Saccharomyces cerevisiae S288C: one gene and its partners. Changing the gene in region 1 together with any one later gene gives a genetic interaction. Each region holds a gene or a part of one and is shown in the gene's direction. Other genes may lie near its edges. The genes, in order: DOA4, MOT2, PKR1 and VPS27.

Region 1 (4,858 bases):
CTTTTCATCAGAGAGATCGAGGGCAAAGAAGTTAAAAAGGAGACACTAATTGGTCATATTATGGGTACTAAGATACCTCATGAATACATTACTATCGAAAGCATGGGCAAATTACAAGTGGAATCGAGTAATCATATTGGTATTCACTCTGTAGTAATCAAGCCAGAATACCAGAAAAAAAACCTGGCTACTTTACTTTTAACTGACTACATTCAGAAATTGAGTAATCAGGAAATTGGTAACAAAATTGTCCTTATTGCTCACGAGCCATTGATACCATTTTATGAAAGAGTTGGTTTCAAGATCATTGCTGAGAACACCAATGTTGCTAAGGACAAAAACTTCGCAGAACAGAAATGGATCGATATGGAGAGAGAACTAATTAAGGAAGAATACGACAACTAGATCATTAGTTTAACGCACTTTACAAATGTCTAATTATAAATACTACATATAATTTTTGTATATTTTAAAATTGCCAAGTATAATTAAAATCATTACTACTGGTGCTACCCTACATCCTTGACCGTACTGAGATATCACTGCTTAATTCCGGTGATTGGGTTCTTTTCAGTTCTTGGAGAGATATACGTACTACCTTCCTTTTTTTTTAAGGATACCTTTACTGTAAAGGGTTTGTTCCTGTATCAACCCCTTCTTCCTGTACAGAATCTAAGGGAACCGTAAAAGCACATAAGTATATAAAGGTCCCAAGATTTGATTAGGTAGATATGGCCTTTGAGTTGGCTCTTAGTTTTTTTTGGCCTTGAATACTTGTTCCTACAATACTCCAACAGCAGTTGAAGCCAGACCGCAGTATCACATATATAATACACAGGAATATATTTGATAATGTTGAGAACCACTTTTTTGCGCACTCCAAGACAATTGATGCGTAAATCGCCAAGGGCGTCTTTCTCAATCGTCACTAGGGCCGCCTTTCCTCACCTAAAGAACAATCAAGATGAAGCTGAGAAAAAAGAACAGGGTTTGTTTGATAGCAACAAGAAGAGGTTGGACACTTTGGAACACGGCAAGAATCCAGATTATAAGCAACCTGGAATGGAAGATTTGAAAAAAAAGGGAGATGACGCTAGAATCGAACAAAACAGGCCAGATGACGGTGTTTATTAAGAAGCACTTGGTACAAACTCGTATATGCATGTAGTTTCTGTCATACACATATCTATATTCCTTCCCCCCTGGTCCTATCGTATTTAGTCATATCATATCATTTATTGATATCTATATAAGTGCAAAACTATAACCATTATTTATTTGCTTTCCACATTGTTTTACTTCATTTGCTTCAATATCGTTCATTACGTTTAGCGAATGGCTAAGGCCCTTGTATTAGTAAAAGCCTAGAAAAAAAAAAAAAAAAAAAAAAAAGGATATGATGTTATATGATACGTGTAGTTCATGTATTTATCTTCGGTAGTATAGGGCAGATTTAAGACTGAGTGTGCACGCTTCCAAAGTTTTTTTTACTATTTGATACATGCTTAAGTTATGGAGCAGAATATTATTAGTACCATAAGGGATGAGTGTATTCGTCACCGGTCGAAGTACCTTACGATAGCACAACTAACCGCTATTGCAGAGGCTAAAATTAACGAATTCATCATAACTGGTAAGGCAAAAGATCAAGATTTGAGCAGTCTTCTAGATAAATGCATCGATATTTTATCTATTTACAAGAAGAACTCGAAAGATATCAAAAATATTATATCGTGCAAAAATAAGGGTGCAATGATTAGTTCAAATTCCGTAATGATTATTCAATTAAATTATGTTTACTACAAGGTAATTCACATTATTGTAACAACCAATATTCCTCATTTAAGTGAATTCGCCAAGATTAAATTACATAAGAGCACGAGTGATGAGGGCAACGGTAATAACAACAATAATGAATTTCAACTCATGAACATTTACAACACTTTGCTGGAAACCTTATTAAAAGATGAAAACATTGCAAAAATAAAAAGTTTCATTAAGTCTTCCATAAAACAAACAAAATTGAACCATGAGCAAGAAGAATGTAACCTGATGAGAACGGGTTCCTATATCACTTCCAATCAATTAAACTCCCTAATAAGTTCATCAGCAAATTCTGCTTCCTCCCAAATGGAGATACTACTGATAGATATACGATCAAGGTTGGAATTCAACAAGTCACATATTGATACAAAAAATATTATATGCCTGGAGCCTATTTCTTTTAAAATGTCATATTCAGATCATGATTTGGAGAAAAAATCATTAATTACTTCTCCTAATAGTGAGATTAAAATGTTTCAAAGTAGAAATCTTTTCAAGTTTATCATTCTCTATACAGACGCAAACGAATACAATGTTAAACAGCAGTCTGTCCTGTTGGACATTCTGGTGAATCATTCCTTTGAAAAACCAATATCCGATGACTTTACCAAAATTTTCATTCTGGAATCTGGTTTTCCAGGTTGGCTTAAGTCAAATTATGGGAGGCAAGTATCATCATCTTTTCCATCAAATAACAATATTAAAGATGATAGTGTTTATATTAATGGTAACACTTCTGGCCTAAGTTTACAACATTTACCTAAGATGTCTCCCAGTATAAGACATTCAATGGACGACTCTATGAAAGAAATGCTAGTTGCGCCTACTCCATTAAATCATCTTCAACAACAGCAACAACAGCAATCAGACAATGATCATGTGCTAAAAAGATCTTCAAGTTTCAAAAAATTATTCTCAAATTATACGTCTCCTAATCCGAAGAATTCAAATTCAAACTTATATTCTATATCTTCGTTGTCCATATCTAGTTCACCATCGCCTTTACCTCTACATTCGCCTGACCCAGTTAAGGGCAATTCATTGCCAATCAATTATCCGGAAACGCCACATCTTTGGAAAAACAGTGAGACAGATTTTATGACAAATCAAAGAGAACAGTTGAATCACAACTCTTTTGCTCACATAGCTCCTATCAACACGAAGGCCATCACTTCTCCATCAAGAACTGCCACACCGAAGTTACAACGCTTCCCGCAAACAATTAGTATGAACCTTAATATGAACTCCAATGGACACAGTTCTGCCACCTCTACCATTCAACCTTCGTGTCTATCCTTGTCTAATAATGACTCTTTAGATCATACAGATGTTACACCAACTTCTTCTCATAATTATGACCTTGATTTCGCGGTTGGTTTGGAAAATCTAGGAAATTCGTGTTACATGAACTGTATCATTCAGTGTATCTTAGGTACACACGAATTAACCCAAATCTTTTTGGACGATTCATATGCTAAACACATCAATATTAATAGTAAGTTGGGATCGAAAGGTATTCTGGCAAAATATTTTGCAAGGTTGGTTCATATGATGTATAAGGAACAGGTTGATGGTTCAAAGAAAATTTCCATATCACCGATAAAATTTAAATTGGCATGTGGATCTGTTAACTCATTATTTAAGACTGCATCCCAACAGGACTGCCAAGAGTTTTGCCAATTCCTTCTAGATGGTCTTCATGAAGACTTGAACCAATGCGGTTCAAACCCACCTTTGAAGGAGCTTTCTCAAGAAGCTGAGGCGAGAAGAGAAAAACTGTCTTTGCGAATTGCCTCGTCAATTGAGTGGGAACGATTCTTGACTACTGATTTCAGTGTTATTGTCGACTTATTTCAGGGACAATACGCCTCACGACTAAAATGTAAAGTCTGTAGTCATACCTCGACAACATACCAACCTTTTACGGTGCTGTCAATCCCTATTCCTAAAAAAAATTCCCGAAATAATATTACCATTGAAGATTGTTTCAGAGAGTTCACCAAATGTGAGAACTTGGAAGTGGATGAGCAATGGTTGTGCCCACATTGTGAAAAAAGGCAGCCCTCCACGAAACAATTGACAATAACGAGATTACCGAGGAATCTGATAGTCCATTTAAAGAGATTTGATAATTTATTAAACAAAAATAATGACTTCGTCATATACCCTTTTTTGTTGGACTTGACTCCATTTTGGGCCAATGATTTTGACGGGGTTTTTCCTCCAGGTGTTAATGACGATGAACTACCAATAAGGGGACAAATACCACCTTTTAAGTATGAATTATATGGTGTAGCATGCCACTTTGGTACTTTGTATGGTGGTCATTATACAGCCTATGTGAAAAAGGGATTAAAGAAGGGATGGCTATATTTTGATGATACCAAATATAAACCTGTCAAAAACAAAGCCGATGCAATTAACTCTAATGCATACGTTTTGTTTTATCACCGCGTCTACGGTGTTTGATTCATTTGAATAAATAACTGAAAACCGTTGTCTATACACTTTTTTTCCCGTTCAACATGGCATATCATTATTTCCATCTAAGGTCAAAGTAAAAAACCCTAAATACAAATGATTTATTTTAACGGTAACAAACGAACTTTTTTTTAGAAGGTGTAAAGATGAGATCACGCCCAGATTTTGTCTTCCTCCTGTGCATCTCTTGGATTGATGATTTTCCTTTCTACCATAATACGTCATGAAAAGTATGTAAATATTTATAGCATTACATATATCTTTTATATGAAAAAAATCACTCATTCCCAGTCATCATCGTCGTCGTCGTCCTTGCTCTCATCCTTGTTGGCGAGGCCAACATGGTCACTAACATCTTTCAATCCCTCTTGAGACACAGCAACTTTCGTCTCCCCTTTAGATTTGTTGTCAGCTACTGCTTCTACTTTGTCATCATCTTCTTCTTCTTCTTCGTCATCCCACTCAACTTCTTTTTCCTCCGTTTCCTTTTCCTTTTTGGACAATATTTCTTTCCTTTTACTTTCTTTATCTAGAATTTTGTTTCTTTGTAAGA
Region 2 (4,255 bases), on another chromosome or scaffold:
ATGTATACAATGGCCGCTTATTTGCGACTCGTCTCATATTTTTCCTGAAACTGTAGCTGTGTGTAATATTATTCATTAACTTCGATAATTCGGCTACAGAAGACAAGAGCTACATCCTTACTGGTGCGAATAAATGACATAATCTGTCAAGAGTACCGAAGTAAAAGCAACGATTGCCGAACACATCTTCCTGAAGTATCATATGCCAATACAAGGTTTCAATAGGAATTATGAAAGCGGCATTATCACCCTTAATCTGAAATATGTAATGATGACGGTGCAGTATGTTGACTACATTGTAAAGTTGCACTTTCACTCAACTCATGAAATTGATGACATTAATCCTACGTGACTTACACATATGCCATGAACGAAGAAGGTGGCACCAAAAATCCAGCGTTTCCGATATACACGCAGTCAAATGTTCAGACTAAACTTTGGTATTCTGACAACGTGTTGTCATACCTGTTACGAGCCAGAAACGTATTTCTTTTTGGGTGATACAATCTCCAGATGACTGCTTTTTTTTTTTTTACCCCAGATTCAGGGGCCGAAGGAACGGAAATGCGGTGTGGCGAGATTGCGGATGTGCTAAAAAATAATATCCTCGAGGCAACCAGCATAATGTGGACGGCTCTCGGCAATTGACTTCCATAACAAATGCATCCTGTAATCAGGGGTATTATAAGTTACTGTATGGTTAATTAAATATAGAATGAAAGGGGCAGCGTTCTTAAGGGGTATTGCTGGGTGGAAAAATACAAGTGTCTTTACTTGATTGTGTGCACATATATAAGGCAAAAGATTTCTAGCGTATATTTGAATCTTTTGTTCTTCCACGTTCAAATTTCTTTGGTCAAAACATTTCATAAAGGGACAAGTTCTGCATTGTATTCTAATAATTGCCCATAGAACATATAAATTAGGTATCGACTGTTTTCGTCTCCACTTTAAATGACAAAGAAGGATAAGAAGGAAGTAAAAGTTCAAACGGTTACCACGGAGGATGGTGAAACCGTGAAAGTTTTTGAAGACCTGCAGGGTTTTGAAACTTTCATTGCCAATGAAACTGAAGATGATGATTTCGATCATTTGCACTGTAAATTAAATTACTACCCACCATTTGTGCTACACGAGTCGCACGAGGACCCTGAAAAAATTAGTGATGCTGCAAATTCTCATTCTAAGAAGTTCGTGCGTCACCTGCACCAGCATATTGAAAAGCATCTTTTGAAAGATATTAAGCAAGCCGTTAGGAAACCTGAGCTTAAATTTCACGAAAAATCGAAGGAAGAGACATTTGATAAAATCACCTGGCATTACGGTGAGGAAACTGAATACCATGGTAGACCTTTCAAGATAGACGTTCAAGTAGTTTGCACACATGAAGATGCTATGGTATTTGTCGATTACAAAACACATCCTGTAGGCGCAAATTAAAGGTTGTGTCATAGAGAATGTGTTAGTACTGAATCCTAACCTCCCAAATTCATAAGTAGTTTTATGTACCTTTAATGATTTACGATTAGCAACTTTTTGAATTTTTTTTATTGAAATGTTGAGCCCGAAGACGTGAAACGCTATAAAGTAGTATCACTGTTACGCCGCGAAACCTGATAATGTATTGTTAAACTACTACCTGGTCGATGATTATATCGACGCTTCTAAAATGAATGCTATTACCCGAACTTCCACTTGATTGCCGTCTCTTCCCGGGTAACATTGTAAGTGTGAATATGATTTTTTTTTTTGCTTTCTCTTTTCAAAATTTCCGAAAAGCATATCAAGACGTGTACTACATACAGTAAAAGCCCTCCTAGGGTTTTCAGTAGTGGTTCGAATAGTATAGATTACTGCTTTTGTTACTCTGCAACAATCCCAAAACTTAATAAAAAGTACAAAAGACCAAATAAAAGTATCGTATATAATCCAGTCATAATGATGAATCCACACGTTCAAGAAAATTTGCAAGCAATCCACAACGCCTTAAGCAATTTTGATACGTCATTTTTATCGGAGGATGAAGAAGATTATTGCCCTCTTTGTATTGAACCAATGGATATTACTGATAAAAATTTTTTTCCTTGTCCCTGTGGTTATCAAATTTGTCAATTTTGCTACAATAATATCAGACAAAATCCAGAATTAAATGGCCGTTGCCCAGCATGTCGTCGTAAATATGATGACGAGAACGTCAGATACGTCACATTATCTCCGGAGGAGTTAAAAATGGAGAGAGCCAAGCTCGCTAGGAAGGAGAAAGAAAGAAAGCATAGAGAAAAAGAACGTAAAGAGAATGAATATACGAATAGGAAACATTTATCTGGTACCAGAGTTATCCAAAAGAATTTAGTGTACGTTGTTGGCATCAATCCTCCTGTTCCATACGAGGAAGTTGCGCCCACTCTGAAATCTGAAAAATATTTTGGCCAATATGGTAAGATAAATAAGATTGTGGTTAATAGAAAAACACCCCATTCTAACAACACAACCAGCGAGCATTATCACCATCATTCACCAGGATATGGCGTTTACATAACCTTCGGATCCAAGGACGATGCTGCAAGATGTATAGCTCAGGTAGACGGGACGTATATGGATGGCCGCCTGATCAAAGCTGCCTACGGTACTACTAAATACTGTTCTTCTTATTTAAGAGGATTGCCATGCCCAAATCCCAACTGTATGTTTTTGCATGAACCTGGTGAAGAAGCTGATTCTTTTAATAAAAGAGAACTCCACAATAAACAACAAGCGCAACAGCAAAGTGGCGGAACTGCATTCACTAGATCTGGAATACACAACAATATATCTACCAGTACCGCTGGTTCAAATACCAATTTACTAAGTGAAAATTTCACAGGCACACCTTCACCGGCGGCGATGAGGGCTCAGTTACATCATGACAGCCATACAAACGCTGGAACACCGGTATTAACACCTGCTCCGGTCCCTGCAGGGTCAAATCCTTGGGGAGTTACTCAATCAGCAACACCTGTAACCTCTATCAATCTCTCTAAAAACAGCAGCTCCATAAACTTGCCAACATTAAATGATTCTCTGGGCCATCATACTACCCCCACAACAGAGAATACCATCACAAGTACGACAACTACTACCAATACCAATGCTACAAGTCACTCCCATGGTAGCAAGAAGAAGCAATCTCTTGCTGCAGAGGAATACAAAGATCCTTATGACGCACTAGGGAATGCTGTTGACTTTTTGGATGCAAGACTACATTCTCTATCAAATTATCAGAAGCGCCCTATATCTATCAAATCCAATATTATTGACGAAGAAACTTATAAAAAGTATCCGTCTTTGTTTTCTTGGGACAAGATTGAGGCCTCAAAGAAAAGTGACAATACATTAGCCAACAAACTTGTGGAGATCCTGGCTATAAAGCCAATAGACTACACTGCTTCTGTCGTTCAATTCTTGCAGAGTGTCAATGTTGGTGTAAATGACAATATTACAATCACAGATAATACGAAAACTCCCACCCAACCAATAAGACTGCAAACCGTCTCACAGCAAATCCAACCACCATTAAACGTCAGTACCCCTCCACCGGGTATCTTTGGTCCACAACATAAGGTTCCTATTCAGCAGCAACAAATGGGTGATACAAGCTCAAGAAATTCCTCTGATTTACTAAATCAACTAATCAACGGAAGGAAAATTATCGCCGGTAATTAATCCGACTCTAAATATTTTTCTTGTTTGCATTAACCATAATTTTATCTATTTTTATTTCTCATGAATATATAATCTCTCCGTTTATAACGAAATGCAAGAAAAAAAAATCTCACCCATTTTTTTAAACCTTTGACGTGGAAAGGTATCTGGGAAAGGTATCTGGCTAATGAATAATGCCATAGCATATACCAGTATAGTCTATTTACTCGTTACAACGTATGAAAGCGTCAGCGCTGCAAGAATGACTAATTCATAGAAAATAATCATCATGATATATATCATAATGCACGGAACCTGCTTCGCTAATTTTTTCACTTAAATCACATTTTTTCAACGAAATCTCTTGCGCAGTTGGTTGGAATTCTTATCCGAATGACTCAGTCTACATCAAAAAACTGTGGCCGAATGGTGGTAATTGATGACTCTTCTATTTTTTTTTTTCATATAAAGAGCTTGCGCGCGTGTTGTTGTTCGCTATCCATTTCCATTAGGAACATTTTTGGATATTATTTTTCAGACCCGTAATATACTTAACACATATACCACTAAAGGC
Region 3 (2,795 bases), on another chromosome or scaffold:
AGAGGTGGGCGAACTTGTGGGAGTTATATATATTTAGGCCAATTGGGCCATTGCATGTTTCCTATAATATATTTTAATATAAAAATTTATTTATTAATACAGCAACTCATTAGATTAATCGAGTGGTGGTAAGGCTTTTTTTGCTCGCAATGCGAGCACGTGACAGAAAGTGAGAATGAACGTCTGACATTGCTAGTGTCACGTTCAGAAAACGAGAAGACGGGTAAAACAAAAATATTGATGATTGTTGGTTAGCAATATCAAATTCATTGAAGGAGGTCACAACCGCGAGAGAAAGTAAGATGTCATGTTTTTGAATATGAACCTGGAGCTCGCATATAACTCTTTCCAGTGGCACCTTTAGATTTATTTTAACTCTGAAATGTAGGTTTTTTTTTTTTTAGACAAGTCACGATAAGTAGTTGTTGTTAGCGACTTTATTCACAGCATTTTTTTATGTAGCATTTGTAGAAATAGGGGAATTATATCGGAGTACTCAAGAAACTAACGGGCTTCTGAGTAAAGGGGCTTCCCGATGTAATGGCATCCAAGGTACTTATCTAACTGATTTTTGATTGGAAGAAACATTTAGAATGCAACCTCAATTGTGGGCAATTACGACCAATGACAGCCAAATCCAGTAAGGTTTCAAAGGGATAATTTACTGAGAAAACAGATTTACTATTCTGGAGGCAGGAGTGATATATTCTTATTCTTCCTATCCATGGGAATAACGATGCACTTTTTTATGGGTAAGGTGTGCTCCCAGTTTTTCTTACCAAGAAGTGTGCAATTGGTACGGTAATATCGTATTTGTTTGCACTGATGTACCCACGCTTTAGCCATTTAAGTTATTACGAATCTACTCTGTCTATTTTTTTTTTACCAACTCCCTACCCAGAGGGAAAATGCGTATGCAATCTAAAATACTTTATTTCCCATTCCGTGCCTTAGGCAAACACAAATGGATTTTGGCTGCATACCGAGGGGTCTAGGTGGTGATGAGGTCGCTACAACCCAGGATGGTTATCTCGTTTCTTCGAATTTCCGCAGCAAAGAGGACCCTTATTGCAGGGATGGAACCTTTTCTGCACAAAGCAAAATCCTCAGGATGTTTCTCTCCTCTGTCTTTCTTTGCCGAGCTCCATCGTGCTAGCGCATCGGACAGGAAGCAGTGAAATACAAGAAAAGTATACAAGCAGTATTCCTGCTCAAGAACCCAGTTTTCAGTTATAGTTTCCACTCCTTTCAATAGATGGGAAACTATATATCCATTAACTAAAATGGCCAGTCAGACTATCTCTTCTCCTCACTAGTGCCTAATCTCTGGTGTCGCCACTCCTGCTGCTGCTAATTATAAGGGCAAAGTCAGACCATCACTTACATTGAGGTGAATATTAAAACCAGTGAAGGTTCTGTTTTTCTCGGGAGTATTTCCGGCAGTAACACCGTTACTTATACCAAAGAGAATTTTTCTGTTGGTATGATTACTGACCCTGTCTGCTCGAAGCACGGTATCATCATTTACCGTTGTTTCTTTCGTCCTAGATATCGGTGTCTCAGAAACTCCAATTGAAGATGTACAGGTGATTAATTACGTCTTTTTATCAATCTATTTACCTATATATTTCAATTTTGATTTTTATTTGGCGAGTGACATGTGAAAACTTTGCCTATGAACCTGAATAGCGCATTCATATTTTAAGAACATGGTAGGGTATAGCAGATGTTCTTTAATTTTCTTTGACTGCGTTTACCCGGCGTTTTTTGCTTGACTGAAAATCAAATGAAGAAAAATAGAGATGGTCTTTTCTTTTTGTCATATCCAAGAACACGTCCATCTAATTGATTAGTGCCAAAAATCGCAGGGATATAACTTCGAAAATTTCTCAAAATGGCCAATTTTTTTGTTAGACTGTGGGAAAGTGTATTTGAACCAGGGACCTCCCCCCAGCTGATCATCGCCACACACGTATCTTTTGTTGCACTACTACTGACCCTCATCTGGCTCATCTATGCCACAAACGGGAATATCCACTTCTATGCTCTTTTCTGTATATCACTTTTACTATGGATTACCGTTATCTGGTTTATAAACGAATTATCACACGTCAAATTGAAGGATAATGATGAGCTGGATAAAGATGCCAATAAAAAGGACGACAGTGCCATCAAGGAAGACAGCGAAGACAAGCAAGAAAGCGGGAAATCCACTAGTACTGCCAGACGGACTCAAGCACAATCTAGGTCAAGAAAAGCATAGACAGATACATAATTGACTACATAATTATCTCTGTTATTAGTATATCACAGAGCTTCCGGGTAAATGTCCGCAATTGTAAATTTTTTTGTCCGCTTCAGGGTCTCCCCTGATATTTTTTTTTTTTCAAAAATTCCTTTTTTTTAAATCAAATTTTGGGCTCAATTATGGACAAATGAAGCACATGCAAAGAGTTAACGCGTGCGACTGAATAGAACAACTCTTTCAGCATCGCAAACCCTTCAAATTGTGAATAAATAGGCATTTCAAGTAACTGTGTCAGCAGCACATTGCATAGGAATTCTGATTTTTTGTTTTAGTGACTGCCCTCCTAATTTTTTTTTTTTTAGTTTACGGCTATAGCTAAATTTGGAGCTTTCTTTCATTAATTTTCACCGAGCTATTAATAACCCTACAAAAAGAGCAGAGAGGTACAGCCTGATCCGATAAAGCAGTGGGATAAAAAGTACTCAAAGACTATTTATAAAAAGTTCAAAATGGATGCAGGTTTATCGACCATGGCAACAAGAAACGG
Region 4 (4,431 bases), on another chromosome or scaffold:
AAGCATTTAAGAACTACATGCTGATGGAGATTGGTTCTTGCCTTGATAGTCTTGGACCATATCCCTTCTCTACCGCTAGCCTCGATATAAGAATATACCAGTGCCTCTTCAGCCGACATGGTGGCTTTCTTTTGCGCCTCAGATTCTAAGACACCTTGAAATTTTAATTCGTCGTTTTGTTTTACTAATTTGATCAAGTTCTTGTCTAGCAATTCCTGTACAATGGACATCAAGTCTGTTAACGACCCGATTCCCATTTGTTTTTGGAGTTCTTGCTGTGTAAATAATGCGCCTATTCCTTTCGACATCATCTGGCTATGTAAGGTTTTAGCATTGTCCGATAGCTGTAACCCATTTTCTATCATTCCACTCATATTCAGGATATTGGCGCTGTAAATTCTTCACTTGATTAAGATTTTCTGTAATGATCTCATCTCACAAATACATCGCAAATCAACTTGAAAATTTTTAATACAATAAAAGATTTGAAGGAAAAAAAAAGTGCCTGTGCGCGATGTTACTTAAAAACAAAAAGATTAAATAATTGCAATATCATCTAGTTGGATTCTAAATATACTACCAAACAAGGGCTTAAACATTTTAATAAACGATTTACATATTTACTGTGGGTATGGCAATGGGTGAGCGTAGGTATGCTACGGTAGGCGATGTAGTGAGTAGTGCGGACGAACCGTAGCCGTAACGTTTAATGCCCCCTGCCTTTTCTTCTCAATTGCTCACATGTAAGCAAAGTCTTCCAAGAATCTGGTTTTACTCGTAGCCTTTTAACGCTGTTTTTTTTTTTTGCACACCTTTAAAACCTATAGAAACTCCTTCATATAAAATGTACTAGTTATAAGATGACTTTTTATATTCAAAATTAGAAGAAAACTTAACTAAAATTAAAAAAATAGCGGCTATTAAAAGGTATTAAAAAGTGAGAAAAAAAGAAAAAAATTATAAACTTGAGAAATCAAAGGAGACTAAATGCATAAGCAAAGAGAAGAGGATCTCCTCGGATGATAGATTTATACAATTACTCTAACTTAGAAGGTTTACTAGACGGATTAACGGACTTGAATCGAATTCCGAAGGAATACTCCGCAGTATTGGAGCCATATTTTCAGAATATAGCAAGAAATGCACATTTAAAGTCTAGAGCTCTAAAAATTTGTCGTTCTAATTTCCATAAATGGAACGAAGAAGGTGCGAAGACAGTCAATCCGGAAATTATAAGAAGATGCCTTAACCTGTGGTATGTTTTGAAGGGCAAGGAATATAAAAAGTTGAAGGATCCTCCGCCTGCTGATAATATCATTAAGGATGAGATTGATGTCTCATATGTTAAGAATTTGAATGTAGTCAGGTTGGAATTTGACGAATTTGGTAAACTCATAAGTAATCCATTAGAGAATTTGATCTTGGAAGAGGTCGAAGTGAATGATTTCATACAAGAATAAACCTAAAGTGTGTTCACTCATCTAATATGCACGGAGCCTACCTTTTAGCTTTTGCTGCCAAACTAAACCAAGATTGAAAGATATATAATCGACTATCTTTCGTCTCGTAATCTGTATCATGCAATTTAAATTAATTATCAACATAAAATGCTCTAGTTAGCACGCGCATATCCAGGAAAGTTCACCAGTAACTATGTACTAGACAAAAGCAAACTGTTCGGAGCGACCATACACCATATGTTGTTGAATCAACTTTTCTTAAGGCTCTTTCGAGTTCATCATTAACCAACCTAGGTATTTTCCCGATTTTTTGGTAATATGTCAAAACAGCTACTTTGTATACATTTATAGACGCCTGGTGTCCTTTGAGCCTCACTTATATAAAGTAACCTTCACAAGATTTTGGATTTTGGTAATACATACGCTACTGCTATTTCTTGCGGAGCAGCAGAATCATCTTGCTCGGCCTCCTTTTCTGAAAATTTCGATGATACCTGAAATAATCATCATTAGCAGAGGGAATTTAAAAATAGAGGGTGTAAAATTATCAAGATTTTTTTTTGCTAAGGTGAATGAGTAGTGAGTAAAGAACTAAGAACAGTATGTCCGTTAGCACGCCAAGTGAGTTAGACGCATTAATAGAACAAGCCACTAGTGAGAGCATTCCCAACGGTGACCTTGATCTCCCCATAGCGTTGGAAATTTCAGATGTGTTAAGATCTAGAAGGGTAAATCCCAAAGATTCTATGCGTTGTATAAAGAAAAGGATTCTCAATACGGCCGATAATCCAAATACCCAATTGTCTTCCTGGAAGCTTACCAATATATGTGTAAAAAATGGTGGAACGCCTTTTATTAAGGAAATTTGTTCCAGAGAGTTCATGGATACCATGGAACATGTCATTTTAAGAGAAGATAGCAACGAAGAACTTTCTGAGCTGGTAAAGACCATATTATATGAACTATACGTAGCCTTCAAAAATGATTCGCAACTTAACTATGTGGCAAAAGTTTATGATAAATTAATCTCTCGTGGCATTAAATTCCCTGAAAAGCTAACACTTTCCAATTCTCCGACTGCAATGTTTGACTCGAAGACGCCCGCAGATTGGATTGATTCTGATGCTTGTATGATTTGCTCCAAAAAGTTTTCTCTACTAAATAGGAAACATCACTGTCGTTCCTGTGGTGGAGTTTTCTGCCAAGAACACTCATCAAATAGTATACCCTTACCTGATTTGGGTATATATGAGCCAGTCAGAGTATGTGATAGCTGCTTTGAAGATTACGATTTGAAGAGACATGACGACAGTAAAAAATCTAAAAAACATCGCCATAAAAGAAAGAAGGACAGGGACTACTCAACTCCTGAGGATGAAGAAGAGCTGATAAGGAAAGCAATAGAACTCTCCTTGAAAGAATCTAGAAATAGCGCTAGTAGCGAGCCTATTGTCCCCGTTGTAGAATCAAAGAATGAGGTGAAGAGACAAGAAATAGAAGAAGAAGAAGATCCTGATTTAAAAGCTGCTATTCAGGAAAGCTTGAGAGAAGCTGAAGAAGCGAAGCTACGCAGTGAGCGTCAAAAAGCCTCTAGACAGATGCAACCCCAACAGCCATCACCTCAACCTCAACCTATCCATTCCGTTGATTTATCTGATGAGGAGAAAGACAGCATATACATGTTTGCTTCACTTGTCGAAAAAATGAAATCGAGGCCCTTGAACGAAATTTTGGAAGACTCTAAATTACAAAACTTGGCTCAAAGAGTATTTGCTTCCAAAGCAAGGTTGAATTATGCTTTAAATGATAAAGCTCAGAAATACAATACTTTGATAGAAATGAACGGCAAGATTTCGGAAATTATGAACATATACGATAGATTATTGGAGCAACAGCTACAAAGCATCAATTTGTCTCAGCAATACACACTTCCACAAGTCCCTTCTGATCCGTACAATTACCTAACAGAAAATGTGCAAAATCCAGCAGAAAGCTATCAAACACCTCCCCTCCAGCAACTATCATCTCATCAATACAAACCACAACAGGATGTCTCACGCCAACAATCGGTAAAAGCAAATTCATCACCTACCACTAATATTGATCACTTGAAAACCATCGATGTGACACCACACGCACAGCAAAAGCCTCAATCGCACGTTGAACTTGCACCTTCGGACCCACCTTATCCAAAAGAAGAGGCCGAAGATGAAGGAACACAGGCAGTGCAAGATGAGGAATCCTCCACACAAGAATCCCGCGAAAGGCCGTATCCAGTAGAAACAGAGAATGGTGAAACTTCAATAAATAAACGGCCTCAAGGCATTACACGTTACGATTTTCCAACTGTTCCTGCACGCAAATTCGTCCAACCGGAGTCAACTGTACCACTTCCTGCAAGTTCCTCTGAAATTCCGATCAAAGAGGAAAGGCCGCCTAGTCCTCAAGAGGAACTGCTAATAGAGCTTTAATATTGTAGCCTTTTCTATGTATTTGTAAAAAGAAACCTAGCGCTTATAAATATATACATACATATATATATAATTGCTTGTTACGCAACTTATACATATTTCTGTCATTAAACTAGTTTTTAAGGTGAATATTCATAATTTATGTCAGTATTAACATTGAAACCGTCAAAAAAAAAAGTATCAATATAGACAAAGGAAGGACCATTTTAAGAAAGTGGTTTTAAGGAAGAAACTTGTTCCTGCATATTTATAGTTAATTCCTATCTTCTTGTTTATCCTGTTTTTTGACCACCTGGCTTGCAGCTAATAGTGAAAAAACACAAATTTTTACCAACCTTCCATGGTATAGTCATGTTGTATACTCGGTGTAACACTAGTAATAAACTTTAAGAAAACAATCAAGTATTGGTCTACCCGTAACGAATCATCAATATCGTCTTGTAAATCCTCCCAGTCTCCGACACCGTCCAGCTCTTGTTCTTCCTGCAGCTCTTTCCTTC

Evidence for each region.
Region 2: mutations in DOA4 (region 1) and MOT2 are lethal when combined (synthetic lethality), as found in Saccharomyces cerevisiae (2 studies listed by BioGRID).
Region 3: mutations in DOA4 (region 1) and PKR1 together harm fitness more than expected from each alone (negative genetic interaction), as found in Saccharomyces cerevisiae (2 studies listed by BioGRID).
Region 4: of DOA4 (region 1) and VPS27, a mutation in one rescues a mutant of the other (synthetic rescue), as found in Saccharomyces cerevisiae (5 studies listed by BioGRID, with this or other methods).

Annotation. Positions count from the first base shown.
Region 1 is NC_001136.10:584,374-589,231, reverse strand, and holds DOA4 (ubiquitin-specific protease DOA4), read left to right. Parts: upstream 1-1,512; coding exon 1,513-4,293; downstream 4,294-4,858. Other genes in the region: PAA1 (polyamine acetyltransferase), read left to right, coding at 1-405; FMP16 (Fmp16p), read left to right, coding at 853-1,134; DOS2 (Dos2p), read right to left, coding at 4,587-4,858. UniProt on the Saccharomyces cerevisiae protein: Ubiquitin thioesterase that acts at the late endosome/prevacuolar compartment to recover ubiquitin from ubiquitinated membrane proteins en route to the vacuole. Also removes ubiquitin from soluble proteins targeted to proteasomes.
Region 2 is NC_001137.3:291,112-295,366, forward strand, and holds MOT2 (CCR4-NOT core ubiquitin-protein ligase subunit MOT2), read left to right. Parts: upstream 1-1,938; coding exon 1,939-3,702; downstream 3,703-4,255. Other genes in the region: RGI1 (Rgi1p), read left to right, coding at 955-1,440. UniProt on the Saccharomyces cerevisiae protein: E3 ubiquitin-protein ligase component of the CCR4-NOT core complex, which in the nucleus seems to be a general transcription factor, and in the cytoplasm the major mRNA deadenylase involved in mRNA turnover.
Region 3 is NC_001145.3:511,699-514,493, forward strand, and holds PKR1 (Pkr1p), read left to right. Parts: upstream 1-1,894; coding exon 1,895-2,263; downstream 2,264-2,795. Other genes in the region: EPO1 (Epo1p), read left to right, coding at 2,758-2,795. UniProt on the Saccharomyces cerevisiae protein: Functions together with the other V-type ATPase assembly factors in the endoplasmic reticulum to efficiently assemble the V-type ATPase membrane sector V(0).
Region 4 is NC_001146.8:634,924-639,354, forward strand, and holds VPS27 (ESCRT-0 subunit protein VPS27), read left to right. Parts: upstream 1-2,062; coding exon 2,063-3,931; downstream 3,932-4,431. Other genes in the region: RPC34 (DNA-directed RNA polymerase III subunit C34), read right to left, coding at 1-374; SWM2 (Swm2p), read left to right, coding at 1,020-1,460; ATG3 (Atg3p), read right to left, coding at 4,259-4,431. UniProt on the Saccharomyces cerevisiae protein: Component of the ESCRT-0 complex which is the sorting receptor for ubiquitinated cargo proteins at the multivesicular body (MVB) and recruits ESCRT-I to the MVB outer membrane.